Linked DNA regions of Saccharomyces cerevisiae S288C. Changing the gene in region 1 together with any one later gene gives a genetic interaction. Each region holds a gene or a part of one and is shown in the gene's direction. Other genes may lie near its edges. The genes, in order: BNA1, PNC1, TNA1 and POX1.

The links.
Region 2: mutations in BNA1 (region 1) and PNC1 are lethal when combined (synthetic lethality), as found in Saccharomyces cerevisiae (one study listed by BioGRID).
Region 3: mutations in BNA1 (region 1) and TNA1 together harm fitness more than expected from each alone (negative genetic interaction), as found in Saccharomyces cerevisiae (2 studies listed by BioGRID).
Region 4: mutations in BNA1 (region 1) and POX1 together harm fitness more than expected from each alone (negative genetic interaction), as found in Saccharomyces cerevisiae (2 studies listed by BioGRID).

Annotation. Positions count from the first base shown.
Region 1 is NC_001142.9:470,278-473,759, reverse strand, and holds BNA1 (3-hydroxyanthranilate 3,4-dioxygenase), read left to right. Parts: upstream 1-2,088; coding exon 2,089-2,622; downstream 2,623-3,482. Other genes in the region: YJR026W (gag protein), read right to left, coding at 1-1,000; methylthioribulose 1-phosphate dehydratase MDE1, read left to right, coding at 2,796-3,482.
Region 2 is NC_001139.9:426,584-430,107, reverse strand, and holds PNC1 (nicotinamidase), read left to right. Parts: upstream 1-2,160; coding exon 2,161-2,811; downstream 2,812-3,524. Other genes in the region: VIR1 (Vir1p), read right to left, coding at 1-1,507; OCH1 (initiation-specific alpha-1,6-mannosyltransferase), read left to right, coding at 3,304-3,524. UniProt on the Saccharomyces cerevisiae protein: Catalyzes the deamidation of nicotinamide, an early step in the NAD(+) salvage pathway. Positively regulates SIR2-mediated silencing and longevity by preventing the accumulation of intracellular nicotinamide, an inhibitor of SIR2, during times of stress.
Region 3 is NC_001139.9:1,010,264-1,014,920, forward strand, and holds TNA1 (Tna1p), read left to right. Parts: upstream 1-2,221; coding exon 2,222-3,826; downstream 3,827-4,657. Other genes in the region: ssDNA endodeoxyribonuclease RAD2, read right to left, coding at 1-503; APL6 (AP-3 complex subunit beta), read right to left, coding at 4,058-4,657. UniProt on the Saccharomyces cerevisiae protein: Involved in the uptake of nicotinic acid.
Region 4 is NC_001139.9:106,295-111,385, forward strand, and holds POX1 (acyl-CoA oxidase), read left to right. Parts: upstream 1-1,863; coding exon 1,864-4,110; downstream 4,111-5,091. Other genes in the region: CHC1 (clathrin heavy chain), read right to left, coding at 1-1,210.

The DNA of each region.
Region 1 (3,482 bases):
TATTTAGATGTCGATGACGTGTGTAGCGTAAAAATTTATATTCGCCAGATAGACCTCTCATAATTAATTGGCATGCGACCTTGTTATTGATATGAATGCCATTATTGTTCAGTCTGTCGATAATGTTTGTGACTTTTGTTTCAAATGCATCTGCAGGTGTACTGCCATTATATTGCAAATTTGCCAGGGTCACAATGTCGTTTGCCTCTTGGGTATCAGATTGCATTTTTTCAATACTTTTGGAAAGAATTTTCATGATATCCGTATAATCAACGGATAGGATGTCTTTGACCCAGGTAGGTAGGAATTGAGAGGGAGCAAATATTTGAAAAGTGTTATACAAGAAGGTGAGTTCATCATCAGTGATCTGACGTACGGGTTTTCCGTTTACTGTCGGAATAATACCACCGAGATTCGAGTTTTGTAAAAATTTGATGTATGTTTTAACCCAATTTGGAAAGTCATTAGGTGAGGTTAACATTGGTGGTGGTCTGACATATTTTTTAGTGGATGTCATATCAGAGTCCGCTGAGGATGAATCAGTAAATGTATTACCTGACTCAGGTGATGGAGTGCTCAGAGGCGTTCCAACTGATGATGGATACTGCGGAAACTGTGATTGTGGCCCAGGTGGAAAGTACATAGGCGACATTTGATAAGGTGTATACGGAATCATAGATGGGTGTCCGTAAAATGACCAACCAGATGGATTGGCTTGGTTTTGGGTCATCATGCACTGCTGTGGGTACGGCCCATTCTGTGGAGGTGGTACTGAAGCAGGTTGAGGAGAGGCATGATGGGGGTTCTCTGGAACAGCTGATGAAGCAGGTGTTGTTGTCTGTTGAGAGTTAGCCTTAGTGGAAGCCTTCTCACATTCTTCTGTTTTGGAAGCTGAAACGTCTAACGGATCTTGATTTGTGTGGACTTCCTTAGAAGTAACCGAAGCACAGGCGCTACCATGAGAAATATGTGAATGTTGAGATAATTGTTGGGATTCCATTGTTGATAAAGGCTATAATATTAGGTATACAGAATATACTAGAAGTTCTCCTCGAGGATATAGGAATCCTCAAAATGGAATCTATATTTCTACATACTAATATTACGATTATTCCTCATTCCGTTTTATATGTTTATATTCATTGATCCTATTACATTATCAATCCTTGCGTTTCAGCTTCCTCTAACTTCGATGACAGCTTCTCATAACTTATGTCATCATCTTAACACCGTATATGATAATATATTGATAATATAACTATTAGTTGATAGACGATAGTGGATTTTTATTCCAACAGCAACATGTTAAAACGAAAGCTGATGTTTGGAAGCCGTCTCGAGTAGGCTATACCGACATATTTTCCCAGGAATATAAAGGAATTGTTGTTGCGATAAAGTTTGTGATCTGTTCTGATGCTGAAGGAACCTTGTACCCGAGAGAGTATAACTCCCGTCTCCATGATGTAAAAAGACTTGGGAGAACAGGACTGTCATTCACAGATAAAAAGGAGGCGTATTTACTCGAATTTAAAAACCAGGACGTTGTAGATCATGTTCATAAGTTAATCTTGCCTTTTAACACATCTTGGCAATCTAACTAGATTCGTCCAATTGTATTTTTACTTCAATAATCTTACATAATAATAAAAATTTTTCTATTTGTCCAAAAAAAAAAAAAATAAATAAAATAAAAAAAGCTACCGTAATTCATGCGTACAGTAACTGGCTTCCTTACTATACCAAGTTTATTCTTTGATTGCGCTGCCAAAATAGCCTGTCAAAATTTGCGCGGATGTATTTTCGACGTCAACGGTGCCATTATTTTTCTGTCACTGACACCTGTACTCCTGAACGGGTATCGGCATTTAGAACGCTGCCTCCAAATGTCTGGTGAACGTTCGTGAATATTCAGAGTGTCGTTATTGCAATGGAATGGCTGCCTTTGTGACGGCGTCAGGATAAATTGTGAGTCACTGAAACATATTCGGCAAAGTAAAAAAACGGACGTAAAAGATTCTTTCTTTATTCTTTTCACGACAGTCTACAAGTAACTGAAATAGCATACATTTACCAAAAAAATCGAAAAAAATGTTTAATACTACACCAATTAATATCGACAAATGGTTGAAGGAGAACGAAGGCCTTTTGAAACCACCGGTGAATAATTATTGCTTACATAAAGGGGGATTCACTGTGATGATTGTCGGTGGGCCTAATGAAAGAACCGGTTATCACATCAATCCAACTCCCGAATGGTTCTATCAAAAAAAAGGATCTATGCTTTTAAAGGTTGTGGATGAGACAGACGCTGAACCAAAGTTCATTGATATCATCATCAATGAAGGCGATTCATATTTATTGCCAGGAAATGTTCCTCACAGTCCTGTTCGGTTTGCTGATACTGTGGGTATTGTTGTGGAACAAGATAGGCCTGGGGGAGAAAACGATAAGATAAGGTGGTACTGTTCTCATTGTCGCCAAGTGGTCCACGAGAGTGAACTGCAAATGTTAGACTTAGGTACCCAAGTGAAAGAAGCCATTTTAGATTTTGAAAATGATGTCGAAAAGAGGACATGTTTCCATTGCAAGACGTTAAACTACGCACGCCCTCAATCTAATTAAGTATTAGAAGAGTTGTTAGTTGTACTTTTATAGCTCTCTTGTTACGTAAGATTGCGGCACTAAGATGCGGTGCCAATTTTTTTTTTTTTTCTCTTGATCAAAGCAGCTAGCTGTTCATCAAGATATGTAACGTTTTTAAGCACTGAACTAACAAGGGGAGCCAGTGAACGACTATGTCTTCACAAGATGTTCTGATACATTCAGATGATCCGTGCCATCCAGCAAATCTCATTTGCACGCTATGCAAGCAGTTTTTTCATAATAATTGGTGCACCGGAACTGGAGGTGGGATTTCAATAAAAGATCCTAACACGAATTATTATTATCTCGCCCCATCTGGGGTGCAGAAGGAGAAGATGATACCTGAGGATTTGTTTGTCATGGACGCTCAGACATTAGAGTATTTGCGCTCTCCCAAGCTTTACAAGCCAAGCGCATGTACTCCATTGTTCTTAGCGTGCTACCAAAAGAAAAATGCAGGTGCTATAATACATACACACTCCCAAAATGCTGTGATATGCTCCTTGCTATTTGGCGATGAGTTCAGGATTGCTAACATCGAACAAATCAAAGCAATTCCAAGCGGAAAGGTGGACCCTGTGACCAAGAAACCCATGGCGCTATCGTTTTTTGATACGCTGAAGATTCCCATCATTGAAAACATGGCGCATGAGGACGAGTTGATCGATGACTTGCACAAGACTTTTAAAGATTATCCAGACACATGCGCCGTAATTGTGAGGAGACATGGCATTTTTGTTTGGGGTCCGACAATCGATAAGGCCAAAATTTTCAACGAAGCCATCGATTATTTGATGGAGCTGGCCATAAAGATGTACCAAATGGGGATTCCTCCCGAC
Region 2 (3,524 bases), on another chromosome or scaffold:
ATTGAATTAGTGGGTTAATCTTCAGGTCATCATAATCCCTTAGAAGTTTAGAAATTAAAAGAATGGTTAAATTCAAACAGCGTAATACATCATTTACAATCATAATTGAATCCGACTCATGGTCTAGGTTCTTGTCAAAAGTGAAAAGCGATTTCGAAATAGGCGGAATTGGTGGCAAAATTGAGTCCTCAAACCAGTATGGAATTTGGTACCTCGTTTGATATGATTGCGTCCAGTCTATTTTTCTGTTATTATTACTAATACTGCTATTATTGCTATTATTATTGTTATTAGTGATGGTAGTAGTAGTAGTACTAGTGGTGTTAGTACTACCATTAATAACGCCATTGTTGTTAATGTTGTTATTATTGATGTTATTAGTAGTGATGCATTTCCTGTTGTATTGATTAATTAATTGCGAAATACTGCCCATGTTGATTAAGAATTTCGATAGAAGGAACTGAATGATATTTAAAGTGGATGCTAAACTTTGAGTAGAGCCCAATTCACCAAAGTTTGAATGTAAACAGTGAGTAGGAACCAGGATTAAATAATTTAATGCAATGTCGAGCAACAAAATTAATCGATTTTCCTGCAAATAATTCAACTCAGGATGGTCAATAACTTCCATTAAAACTTGTAAGTGAAAGGACAAATCAGTCGGATCAATTTTGTCGCTGGAGTTCTCACCACCACCATTGTCTGAAATCCCATTTTCCATTATTGTAGAAATTGCAGATCGATATAGTTTAGGATCAATTAAATTTGGGAAGTGAGAGATCCTTTTAGAGATCTTGTACACAAAATAATGAGATGGCAAAACTTCTAATGAGGACGTTGATGCTAATGAAGTGATGATAAAAAAATCCACCTGGTAATCCTTTGTTATCCAGCTAGAAATTTTCTCATCACCGTTGATTAAGTTCGTTGCCGAAGGATCGTATCTTTGCCATTGTGCTACCCATATCTTGAGTAAAGTGGATCTCAAACCGAGCTTTAGAAACTCAAATAGATTTGGCGTTATTTCTTCAAAATTTTGAACAATGGAAAGAAGCGACAGTACGCCGAAATTCATTGAGTCCCCGTCCGTGGTTGTCGCCGTTTCTTCGTCATTATCTGCCATAAAATCCTTCCATATGTTCAGATTGTGCAGGATCAAAGGATGGAGCTGTTTATGGATGGAAATGTATGCAAATAACACCGCTATAAGGTCCCATATGATATTGCTATTATTAGCAGCAGTAACGGCTGACTGCAAAAGGGGAGAAAAAACGTCTAACTCCCGCAGTTCCGACTCAAAATCTTTTACAGAAGAGCCTGAAATTGGCAGATACTTAAAAGAGTTTATGAGCTTGAAGGCTATTTCAACAGGATCATTAATGTGACTGTCGATCGAAGCTAATTTATGGTAGGCCTTTAAAATAGCTTGCAAAAGAGCGTCTACGGTGTCTTGGGAGACCCGCGAGGCTGCAGTCACCAGTGGTGCATGGCCAGCACACTTCTGCATTCTGGTGGTGAGGGTTCTGTACTGCTTATATTGTTGCTATTGGTTAATTATGCCTTTTGTTTTCCTCTTTCCCTACGATCCTCCTTATATGAAACAGAAAAAACTGCCGCCGAGATCCAAGCAGAAAAAAATATATTAAGTCAAGGATCAAGGTGGCACACAGGGTAATGAAATTTTTATATTATATATATAAATAAATATCCATATGTCATTGTTAACGTCTTCCGTTGCTAAAATCATACGTCGTTATATACGTTATCGCTTTATACGTGTTAGCTCGATATCATTTGGGACGTGCCGAAATCTCGCGGAATGTTTCCGAAAAAAAAGAAAGAAAAAAAAAAAGGGGCAGGCCCCACAAAGGGGCGCCGCGTGGTGTTACGTACTGGAAAAGTGAATTATGAAAAAAAAGTTCTTCAAGGGGCAGGGGTTTCCGTTTGGCCCACTATGTATGTGTCTCCAGATACGATTATGATGTGCTAATAGTTATTAATAAAACTATATATATATATATTACTCATATATATATTTTCATATACAATGTACTCTTAACTGGTACCTGGTTGGATGCAATAGGTGAGGAAACCTTCAAACAAAACTTTCTTTTACGATTATCTATATCTTTGTTAGAAAGAATAAAATACAGTACAAAAATGAAGACTTTAATTGTTGTTGATATGCAAAATGATTTTATTTCACCTTTAGGTTCCTTGACTGTTCCAAAAGGTGAGGAATTAATCAATCCTATCTCGGATTTGATGCAAGATGCTGATAGAGACTGGCACAGGATTGTGGTCACCAGAGATTGGCACCCTTCCAGACATATTTCGTTCGCAAAGAACCATAAAGATAAAGAACCCTATTCAACATACACCTACCACTCTCCAAGGCCAGGCGATGATTCCACGCAAGAGGGTATTTTGTGGCCCGTACACTGTGTGAAAAACACCTGGGGTAGTCAATTGGTTGACCAAATAATGGACCAAGTGGTCACTAAGCATATTAAGATTGTCGACAAGGGTTTCTTGACTGACCGTGAATACTACTCCGCCTTCCACGACATCTGGAACTTCCATAAGACCGACATGAACAAGTACTTAGAAAAGCATCATACAGACGAGGTTTACATTGTCGGTGTAGCTTTGGAGTATTGTGTCAAAGCCACCGCCATTTCCGCTGCAGAACTAGGTTATAAGACCACTGTCCTGCTGGATTACACAAGACCCATCAGCGATGATCCCGAAGTCATCAATAAGGTTAAGGAAGAGTTGAAGGCCCACAACATCAATGTCGTGGATAAATAAGAGCTGAATAATACTTCTTCAACCTGATGAACTAGGGTGGCTTGCAAATGCACAAATCTATATAACAATATCTATATATATGTATGTACACCGAATTCCGACATATGGAGAAGGAATAATAAAATATTAACTAACGTCTTTACGCCTCTCTTTATTCTTTTTTGGGTAAATTGCTTAAACTATTTGGCCGGCCCACCGCGAAAAGATTTGGCTGGGCCTCAACTAAACGCGCCTTTTTGGACTTTTCACGTTGCAGGGACAGCAACGTCAAAACTTCTGCATTAAGGTAGTTTGGTAGCTTGGTAGCCACTTTAGTATTTCTGCCTTCTTCGAATACCGACATTATTTCTCGCCAATCCACATTCTCTCTCCCCATCTGCATCCTTTTATATTTAATAGGGATAGGTTGTTTTAGTTCTTTGATTCCGTTTTCATTTCAAGAGCAATAATAGCAATTTGGAAAAAGAAAGCAAGTAAAAGAAAGAAGAGATCATGTCTAGGAAGTTGTCCCACCTGATCGCTACAAGGAAATCAAAAACAATAGTCGTAACCGTACTTCTTATTTATTCTTTGTTGACATTTCACTTGTCAAACAAAAGGCTGCTTTCTCAGTTTTACCCTAGCAAAGATGATTTCAAGCAAACTCTTCTCCCTACGACTTCTCATTCACAAGATATAAATTTGAAGAAACAAATTACAGTTAACAAGAAAAA
Region 3 (4,657 bases), on another chromosome or scaffold:
AGTTTTTCAAAAGTTTTATTAGAGTTAACTCTTGCATCTTCCTTATCGTATTTGAATCCCGGTATATCGGGCAAGTCCCACTCGTCCTGAGGTTTGAAGATCTGCACACTACTGCCACTACTCGGTGTAGAGTTTTTTACGTTATCGTTTGAGCCGTTTTGCAATTGTAAAGCCAGCAGCTTCCTAGCGGTGGATTTCGCACTCTCTCGTTTTCCCTGTCTTCTTTCTTTCCTCTGCCGTATTGTTTCCCTTTTCAATACGGGCACACCACCATCAAAGACGAATACCGGCCTAATGCCAAAGTATAATAGCTTACAAATTCTTCTAAAGAACCCAGTAATATGAGAATTCTTCACTGCATTCCCCTCCTGATCACGGACAGCTTTCAAAAACTGATATATCCAAATGGAGGCATCTACTGCCATTCTCTTATCTTCCAAGGATTCCAGCCTGACCGGTCTTGCCGTAGGACCTGCAATATCCCAAAATGAATGCACACCCATGTCTGAAGTTTGGCGTTCTCCCGAAAATGCTTTTCTTCATGGATGACGTGTAGAACCTTCAATGATTTACGTACAGTTTTTCAATCCCTTTAAGGTCTCTATATGTGGCGGCATCTTTTCTTTTTCTTTTCTTTTTTTTTTTTTCACTCTCCCTTTTAATGCCTCCACGGAGGTTCGAATGGGTTATACTAGAAAGAAAAAAAAATAGTGATAATTAACAATGAAAAAAAAAAAACAGCAACAAAATGTGGTATTGGGGTCACACCACTCATTGACTCACATCCTCTGGAAACATCAAAAAGCTACCAAAAAAGAAAAAAAAAAAAATTCAAGTGCGAAGTTTCCGCATATGCAAACCTTACTTATTGTATAATATTGGTAACAGCAGCTACTAAGCTCCCTGACTCTGATTTCTCTCTCTGTCTCTTTTGAGGAGTACCTTCTGCGCTACTGTGTTCCAATGGTATCTGCGCCTTGAAAATCAATCACAAACGCTCTTGCTATGGCCTGCCTTGGACACGATACGTCGCTGCTTATGCCGCCAGGTGTCAGTAAATGCTCTGACGCACCCATTCACCCCGCGCACTAATTTGCAAAATTTGGGGGCAGTTTGGGAATACTCCATAGAAAAAATCGACTTCAAATCAATTCCGCACAACGTCGCCGTGTTGGCTAAAGTGAACGGAAAATGGACGACATGGTAAAAGAACAGATATGTACATATACAGAAGCCGCGATTTCACATGCCGGCCATTATGGCACACAACCAGGTCTTGTACTGTCACTATGTGCGTTCCGGAACGCCTGTACAGTCCATGGTGAACCATTTATTTATTTATTATTATTATTTTGTACATTATTATTTATGCTATATGTTATTATTATTATCACTATTTAATATTATTATTCGGGTCCAGGTGAAATAACAAAGTCTGGCGCCAGTCACTTGTCTGGGTGCCCGTATTCTCTGTTACAGCGGTATCCCTCTGGATTCTGCAATCGTCGCCGGCTTCTACTAATTTTTCCTTTCCTTTTTGTTTTTTTTTTTTTTTAGTTTTTTATTTTCTAGTTTCCTGCTCGTATTCTGTTGGTTTTTCCAGTGTCTCTCTCCTTTTACAAGTCACCCATTCTCTGCGAAGAAGCGGTCGCACCAACAAAATAGAAAATACCACCGGACGCCGGATCGCTTATTACTCGCAATCATAGTTACCAATCACAGCCGGGCATACTCGGGATCTACCGTAGAATCCTATGCGTCACACATGAGGACAGGTTACGAACCGTCGAAGGCTTCGCGGCGTGTGTGATTAGTATTGTTTTGACCTCATCCATACACCCTGAAATATCTGTCGCATCTCCGATTACGTTAAAAATTCTGGATAATATATAAACCATGAGTTTTCCTTTCTTTGAAGTATGTTCCTACTCGAGATCCTTTTGTTATTTTATTGCCATTTTTTTTTTGTTTCATATGTACTTCTTATCTACTATTTATATTTCTCTATATTAACTAACTCTCCAAGCTATAAGCATACGTCCATATTTACTGTCTTAGAAGTCGTATTCACATCACAGTTTTCCCCCTCTTCGCCTTTTTCAAACTATTTTCCCCCGTGAGACAGCGACTGAAAAAAAAACGACTGCGCAGAAGGCTTATATAAAAAAAAAAAGAAATATTTCTTCACTTTCGAGCATTGAACTATTGTCATTACCTCTAGATGAGCAACAAATTTACAATGGAGTCACCTAAGCATTTGGTGGATGATGTGCTTTTCATATCACCCACCAATGATGGATCAGAAGAAAAGCCTACGGAAGTCACGTTCCAGGAAGATGAAGGCCATGACGCTAGCTTGCATAATCGCAGCCATGACAAGAAGTCGGAACTTGCCACCGAACGGGAAATTATGGCTACTACCACGGATGATGACGGCATCCCCTCCCCTTCCCATCCAATGGAAAAGCGTGTCTTGCGCAAAATGGATATATACTTGATTCCTCTTATGGGGATGCTATATTTCCTTTCTAACCTGGATAAATCGAATATTGGTAACGCAGAAGTTGCAGGTCTATCCAAGGATATCCACCTTGTAGGAACGCAATATAACACATGTGTCACAGTTTTTTTCGCGACGTATGTTCTTTTCGACCCCATAGGTACTAACCTTCTGAAAATTATGGGTCCGCCATTAATGATGAGTATCTGTTTGACCTGTTTCGGTGCTATTTCGCTCGGAACTGCTTGGGTTAAGAATTATGCTCAATTGATCGTTGTCAGACTACTACTGGGTGCCTTTGAAGGTATGATTTATCCCGCTATTAACATGTACCTTTCAGTCTGCTATAGAAGAGAACAATATGCTCTGAGGTTCGCTTTTGTCTTCAGTGCAGCCTGTTTGTCTTCATCTTTTGGTGGGCTGATTGCTTATGGTTGTTCCAAAATCAGCGGTTCTCTAAAGGACTGGCAATACATTTACATTGTCGAAGGTTGTATCTCTTTGGGGTTCGTACCATTCTATGCCTTCGGGTTGAGCAAAAATTTGGAGGATTCGTGGTTTTTCAATAAGGAGGAAAAAGAGTACATTTCCGAAAGATACAAGACTATGAACACTTTTGACCCGGACGAAAAATTTGAATGGTTCCAAGTGTGGCAAGCAGTTAAGGATGTCAAGACTTGGGCTAGTGCTGTGGCATTATTCGGTATCGATTTGACTACTTTTGGTCTAACAGTCTTCTTGCCGATCATCATTACCAGTATGGGGTTCACTAATGTCAGAGCTCAATTAATGACCGTGCCCATCTATTTCCTTACAGCAATTGTGTTCTTCATTTGTGCCGTTTGGTCTGATCGTATAAAGTTGAGATCTCCATTCATCCTGGGTGCTTGTCTGACGACTTCGATAGGCATAGCTATCGTCCTTGGTTCTCAAGTTCATGGTGTGAGATATTTTGGCGTTTACATTCTTTGTATGGGTATTTACGTTAATGCTGCCTGTAACTGTTTATGGTTAAGTGGTAACACTGGTAATTACTTCAAGAGAGCCACCGCTTTAGGAATTAATCTATTTTTCGGGTCTGGTTCAGGGTTGGTCTCTGGTCAAATTTTTGTTGCCAAAGACAAGCCAAGATATATCAAAGGGCTGTCGATTAGTCTGGCCTTTCAAGTCTTCTCCATATTTATGACGGTTGTGCAAATTTTCCTATACAAGAGGGAAAACGATAAAAAGAAAGCAATAATAGATCGCTGTAATGAATTGGGAGAGCCTATTCCATACGACGAAAGGTTAAGCGACAAAAACCCTGAGTTTAAGTACATGTATTAGGCTTGACTTTCTTCACCCTCCACTTTTTTTGCCCCTCGTTATGAGTGTGTTTGCAATTTGTAACTTTTCTTTTATATTTGTATGTATTTTTGTACTAAGCAAATTCACATGAAACTTTGTTTACCAACTTCTCTTTTGTTTTCGTCCCAAACACGTATATTACTGGGAAGATATACATGCCTATATCTATATCTATAAATATACATATTTATATAGTATTATCTCCGAGTTCTAAAGCTCCAGATGCGAAGAAGACGTTCCCGAAGAAGACGTTCCCAAAGAAGAGTCACTATACTCATCATCGTCACTGCTCTCTTCCGATTCGTCTTCATCCTCGTCACTGCTTTCTTCCACCACCTTTATAATTTTCCTTGGTTTACTCTTCCTTTCTGGAATGTCGGAAAAAAACTCGTCCAGGCTTTGCAAACGATATTTCTTCCCGTTTTGAGATGTGAAGGTGTTTACGTTACCTTTACCTGAGATGCTATTGCTATCGCCGTCATTGATCCCAGTCAATTTTGCGTTGGAGCTAGATGTGAAAGATCTTGCTGAGTTGTTGGTAATAAAAGACTGCGATGAAAAACTTTTTTTGTATTTGTTATAGTCTTTCAATTCTGCGCCTTCTCTAATATCGTTACCTGTCTCGCCAACCTCAGTAATTTCAGTATTCCAAGGAAGCATTCTAAAAAATTCTTTTATTTCTGGGGTATGTGTTTCCAATCTTGCAGAAACGATAAAATCGTCACTTCTTGCCGTAGGTTTAGGTGCTTGTAATAGTAGTGACACAATTTCATATTTCCCTGAATCAAACAAGGATGAAATCATCCTGGC
Region 4 (5,091 bases), on another chromosome or scaffold:
TGTTGATGGTGTTTTGGTTCCTTAAAGAAGTGGAAGAGGCTGCAACTTTAGCTGCATTTTGATAATCGTTTTGTAACAATAAAGATTCAAACTGTTTTTGAAATAAATCATCTGCACCTGGTAAGCCACCTCTTGTAGCAACGATTAAGGCCAGTGCCACATTAGATAATTTATTCAAGATATATGGAACGATTTGAGAAGTAGAAATCTCTACTGCTAAAACTTGACCTTTTTTATTGATGCATGCAATACCGTTCTCGTGATTGTACGGAGCTGCAGTAAAAACAGATTCTGCTGTAATTCTATTAACGAATAAATTGGTACCGGTTTCCAATTCGTACAAATGGATGAAGCCATACTTGGTTAATAGGTAAATTATGCCGTATTTCTCAGACACCTGAACAGCGATTGGGAAATCATTCGTTGCATCTGGTGGAAAGAAAATATCGGTAGTTTCCTTTTGATATTGAGAAGGCAATGAAGCATCGTGATCAATCTCGATAATTCTTAATTCTCCAGCACCGGTGGTGGCATTTCTGTTACCAGTAACGAAAACTTGTACCGGGGTCGAGCCATTACCCTCTAGTAATATATTCGTAAAGATAGCAACATGACCGTCGATAGCTTGGGAGATGTTACGTTGTTTTGAGAATAATTGAATTCTACCGGCAATACGGCCATTTTCTTGTAAGATACCAACAACTGCGAACCAGTCAAGGTTTTTGTTAGCCACAAAATTGATAATTTGGGTATTGTTCAAGTTAGCGTGTCTCAAGGTAAGCAATTGAGGCTTAGCATTTACGTTACCATCAAAGACGTTCGAGGTCAGTATGGATCTTGCGGTAACAAAACCCAAAGTGGTTTCACTCAACCACCTCCAAAAAATAACAGGTTCATCTAAAGTAAAAGACTTTAACTTGCTCTTAGTTTCCAAATTAAATATCTGCACGATAGTACCATTTGCTCTAACGGAAATAACCATCTGAGATGGATGCATGATAGCAGAATCACCGCCCATATTCTTCCTTGTCACTTCATTGCCTTTGGCCAAATCCACGATTGCAACAGAGTTTGTACCGTCCTTTGTTTCTCTAACAGTGACGAAGTGGTCACTCTCGAAAGTAGTTGATCTGAAGTCAAGGAATTGAGGGGAAATTCCTAAGGACATCAGATCGACCAATTCGGTAAATTCAATGGGTAGGTCACTCATTGGTTAGAACTTTCGTGATAATTTATTTTTATAGTTGAATATCTTCTTTCTCTCTCAACTCTGATCCGGATTGTCGAGGTTTCAATAAGTTACTCTGAACAACTAATCAAAATATCTCCTTATTTCTGTAGATTCCTTCAGTTCCACTTTTTACTTTTCTTAATTCTCTTTGTATTTATTCCTAGCGACGAAAAATGCGAGATCTCGACCAAAAAAAGGGGGTAGGGTAATAAAATTAACCCTATTATTTTTTAACTTTAAAACCTATAATGTGCTAATATTTTATTATAAACCTCCTTTTTTTGCGTTCAAACCCTGACACATTTTAAGCCCTATATTTACGGTATTAGTTGATTAAACTCCGAAGCGAAAGGAATTCGGTCATTAGCGGCTAATAGCCGTTGGGGTAAATCACCTACAAGCAAGTACACAAGAGAACGTTGGCGTTGTTAAGTCAAAGCACTAATACATTGGGGCTTTAAGAGTGTTTATAAAGGTCTAACCTGTAAAAATTATTTAAACAACTTGAACAGGCCTTAAAGTTTTCCTCATTCCGCTCATCATCACTAATATTGCTCTCCGTTTTTGAATACACACTTGACACTAATAAGTATCACAGAAAAAAAGAAAATATAATAAATTAGTATTGCGATATGACGAGACGTACTACTATTAATCCCGATTCGGTGGTTCTGAATCCTCAAAAATTTATCCAGAAAGAAAGGGCGGATTCGAAAATCAAAGTTGACCAAGTTAACACATTTTTAGAGTCATCCCCGGAGAGGAGAACTCTGACGCACGCCTTAATAGACCAAATAGTGAATGATCCTATATTGAAAACTGATACGGACTATTACGATGCTAAAAAAATGCAAGAGAGAGAAATTACTGCCAAAAAAATAGCTAGGCTTGCTAGTTATATGGAGCACGATATCAAAACAGTGCGCAAACACTTTCGCGACACTGACCTGATGAAAGAGTTGCAAGCAAATGATCCAGACAAAGCTTCGCCTTTAACAAACAAAGACCTTTTTATATTCGATAAGAGATTGTCACTTGTAGCAAATATTGATCCTCAATTGGGTACGCGCGTGGGTGTACACTTGGGGCTATTTGGTAATTGTATCAAGGGCAATGGTACTGATGAGCAAATCCGGTATTGGTTGCAGGAGAGAGGTGCCACTTTGATGAAAGGTATATATGGCTGTTTTGCAATGACTGAGTTAGGACATGGTTCCAATGTTGCCCAGCTGCAGACTAGGGCTGTGTACGATAAGCAAAATGATACTTTTGTAATTGATACACCTGATCTAACTGCCACCAAATGGTGGATTGGTGGGGCTGCCCATTCTGCCACGCACGCTGCCGTGTACGCCAGATTGATCGTTGAAGGTAAAGACTACGGTGTAAAAACATTCGTTGTTCCTCTGAGAGACCCTTCGACTTTCCAACTGTTAGCTGGTGTTTCCATAGGGGATATTGGAGCGAAGATGGGTCGTGACGGTATTGATAATGGCTGGATCCAGTTCAGAAACGTAGTTATCCCTAGAGAATTTATGCTAAGTAGATTTACCAAAGTTGTCCGTTCTCCAGATGGTTCAGTCACCGTCAAAACTGAGCCACAATTGGATCAAATTTCTGGTTATAGTGCATTGTTAAGTGGTAGAGTTAACATGGTCATGGATTCATTTAGGTTTGGCTCCAAATTTGCTACTATTGCTGTACGTTACGCGGTTGGTCGTCAGCAATTCGCACCTAGAAAGGGATTGTCTGAAACACAATTAATCGACTATCCCCTTCACCAATATCGTGTTTTACCACAATTGTGTGTTCCATATTTGGTGTCACCTGTAGCTTTTAAGTTAATGGACAACTATTATTCCACTTTGGACGAGTTATACAACGCTTCCTCATCTGCATACAAAGCTGCTCTGGTTACCGTGAGTAAAAAGTTGAAGAATTTATTTATTGATAGCGCCAGCTTGAAAGCCACCAATACTTGGTTAATTGCTACACTGATTGATGAGTTGAGACAGACTTGCGGAGGACATGGGTATTCACAGTATAACGGATTTGGTAAAGGCTATGACGACTGGGTGGTTCAGTGCACATGGGAGGGTGATAATAATGTTTTATCTTTAACTTCAGCAAAATCAATATTGAAAAAATTTATCGATTCAGCCACAAAGGGTAGATTTGACAACACACTGGATGTGGACTCATTCTCTTACTTAAAACCTCAGTACATAGGATCTGTGGTTTCTGGAGAAATAAAGAGTGGTTTAAAGGAGTTGGGTGATTATACTGAAATTTGGTCTATCACCTTAATCAAATTACTGGCACATATTGGTACTTTAGTTGAAAAATCAAGAAGTATTGATAGCGTTTCTAAGCTTTTAGTCTTAGTATCCAAATTTCATGCCTTGCGCTGCATGTTGAAAACCTATTACGACAAGTTAAACTCTCGTGATTCACATATTTCCGATGAAATTACAAAGGAATCTATGTGGAATGTTTATAAGTTATTTTCCTTGTATTTTATTGACAAGCATTCCGGAGAATTCCAACAATTCAAGATCTTCACTCCTGATCAGATCTCTAAAGTTGTGCAGCCACAACTATTGGCTCTTTTGCCAATTGTGAGGAAAGACTGTATAGGTCTGACAGACTCCTTTGAATTACCTGACGCGATGTTAAATTCTCCTATAGGTTACTTTGATGGCGATATCTATCACAATTACTTCAATGAAGTTTGCCGCAATAATCCAGTGGAGGCAGATGGGGCAGGGAAGCCTTCTTATCATGCGCTGTTGAGCAGCATGCTCGGTAGAGGTTTCGAATTTGACCAAAAGTTAGGTGGTGCAGCTAATGCGGAAATTTTATCGAAAATAAACAAGTGAGTAGAGGTTTCCTGTTTTCCTTCGAACCCTCTGTTTTGCGACTTTTGTTTCAATTCAACTAGTGTCGCCAAGTTTTAACAAAAAGTTACAAAATCCTAGTGAGAGGCCATCTTATGTGCATAACGGTACTCTCTATCTATTTACATATCTAATACTATTCACATAACTATGACGAATCAATGACATGACTACATTTACCAATGTATAGTAGTAAAAAAATTGCCATCTCCTAGAATCGAACCAGGGTTTCATCGGCCACAACGATGTGTACTAACCACTATACTAAGATGGCAGGTAATTATTGAGTGTTTACTCAATATCTCAGAATTATATACATAACAAATAATAAATGTGCTGTGTTGGCACTTGTTGGAATGAAGCTCTAAAACATCATGATGATTGTGTGGATTCTGATGTAATTGTTGGGATTCCATTTTTAATAAGGCAATATGTTGGAACGAGAGTAATTAATAGTGACATGAGTTGCTATGGTAACAATCTAATGCTTACATCGTATATTAATGTACACATCGTATACGTTTAAGTGTGATTGCGCCTATTGCAGAAGGAATGTTAAACGAGAAGCTCAGACAATACTGAAGCTGTGTTAAAGACCTATTAGCTGAACATGATATGGTAGGTACATATATGAGGAATATGAGTCGTCACATCAATGTATAGTAACTACCGGAATCACTATTATATTGGTCATGATTAATATGACCAATCGGCGTGTGTTTTATATACCTCTCTTATTTAGTATAAGAAGATCAGTACTCACTTCTTCATTAATACTAATTTTTAACCTCTAATTATCAACACAATAATATTAGGTATGTAGATATACTAGAAGTTCTCCTCCAGGATTTAGGAATCCATAAAAGGGAGTCTGCAATTCTACACAATTCTATAAATATTATCATCATCGTTTTATATGTTAATATTCATTGATCCTATTACATTATCAATCCTTGCGTTTCA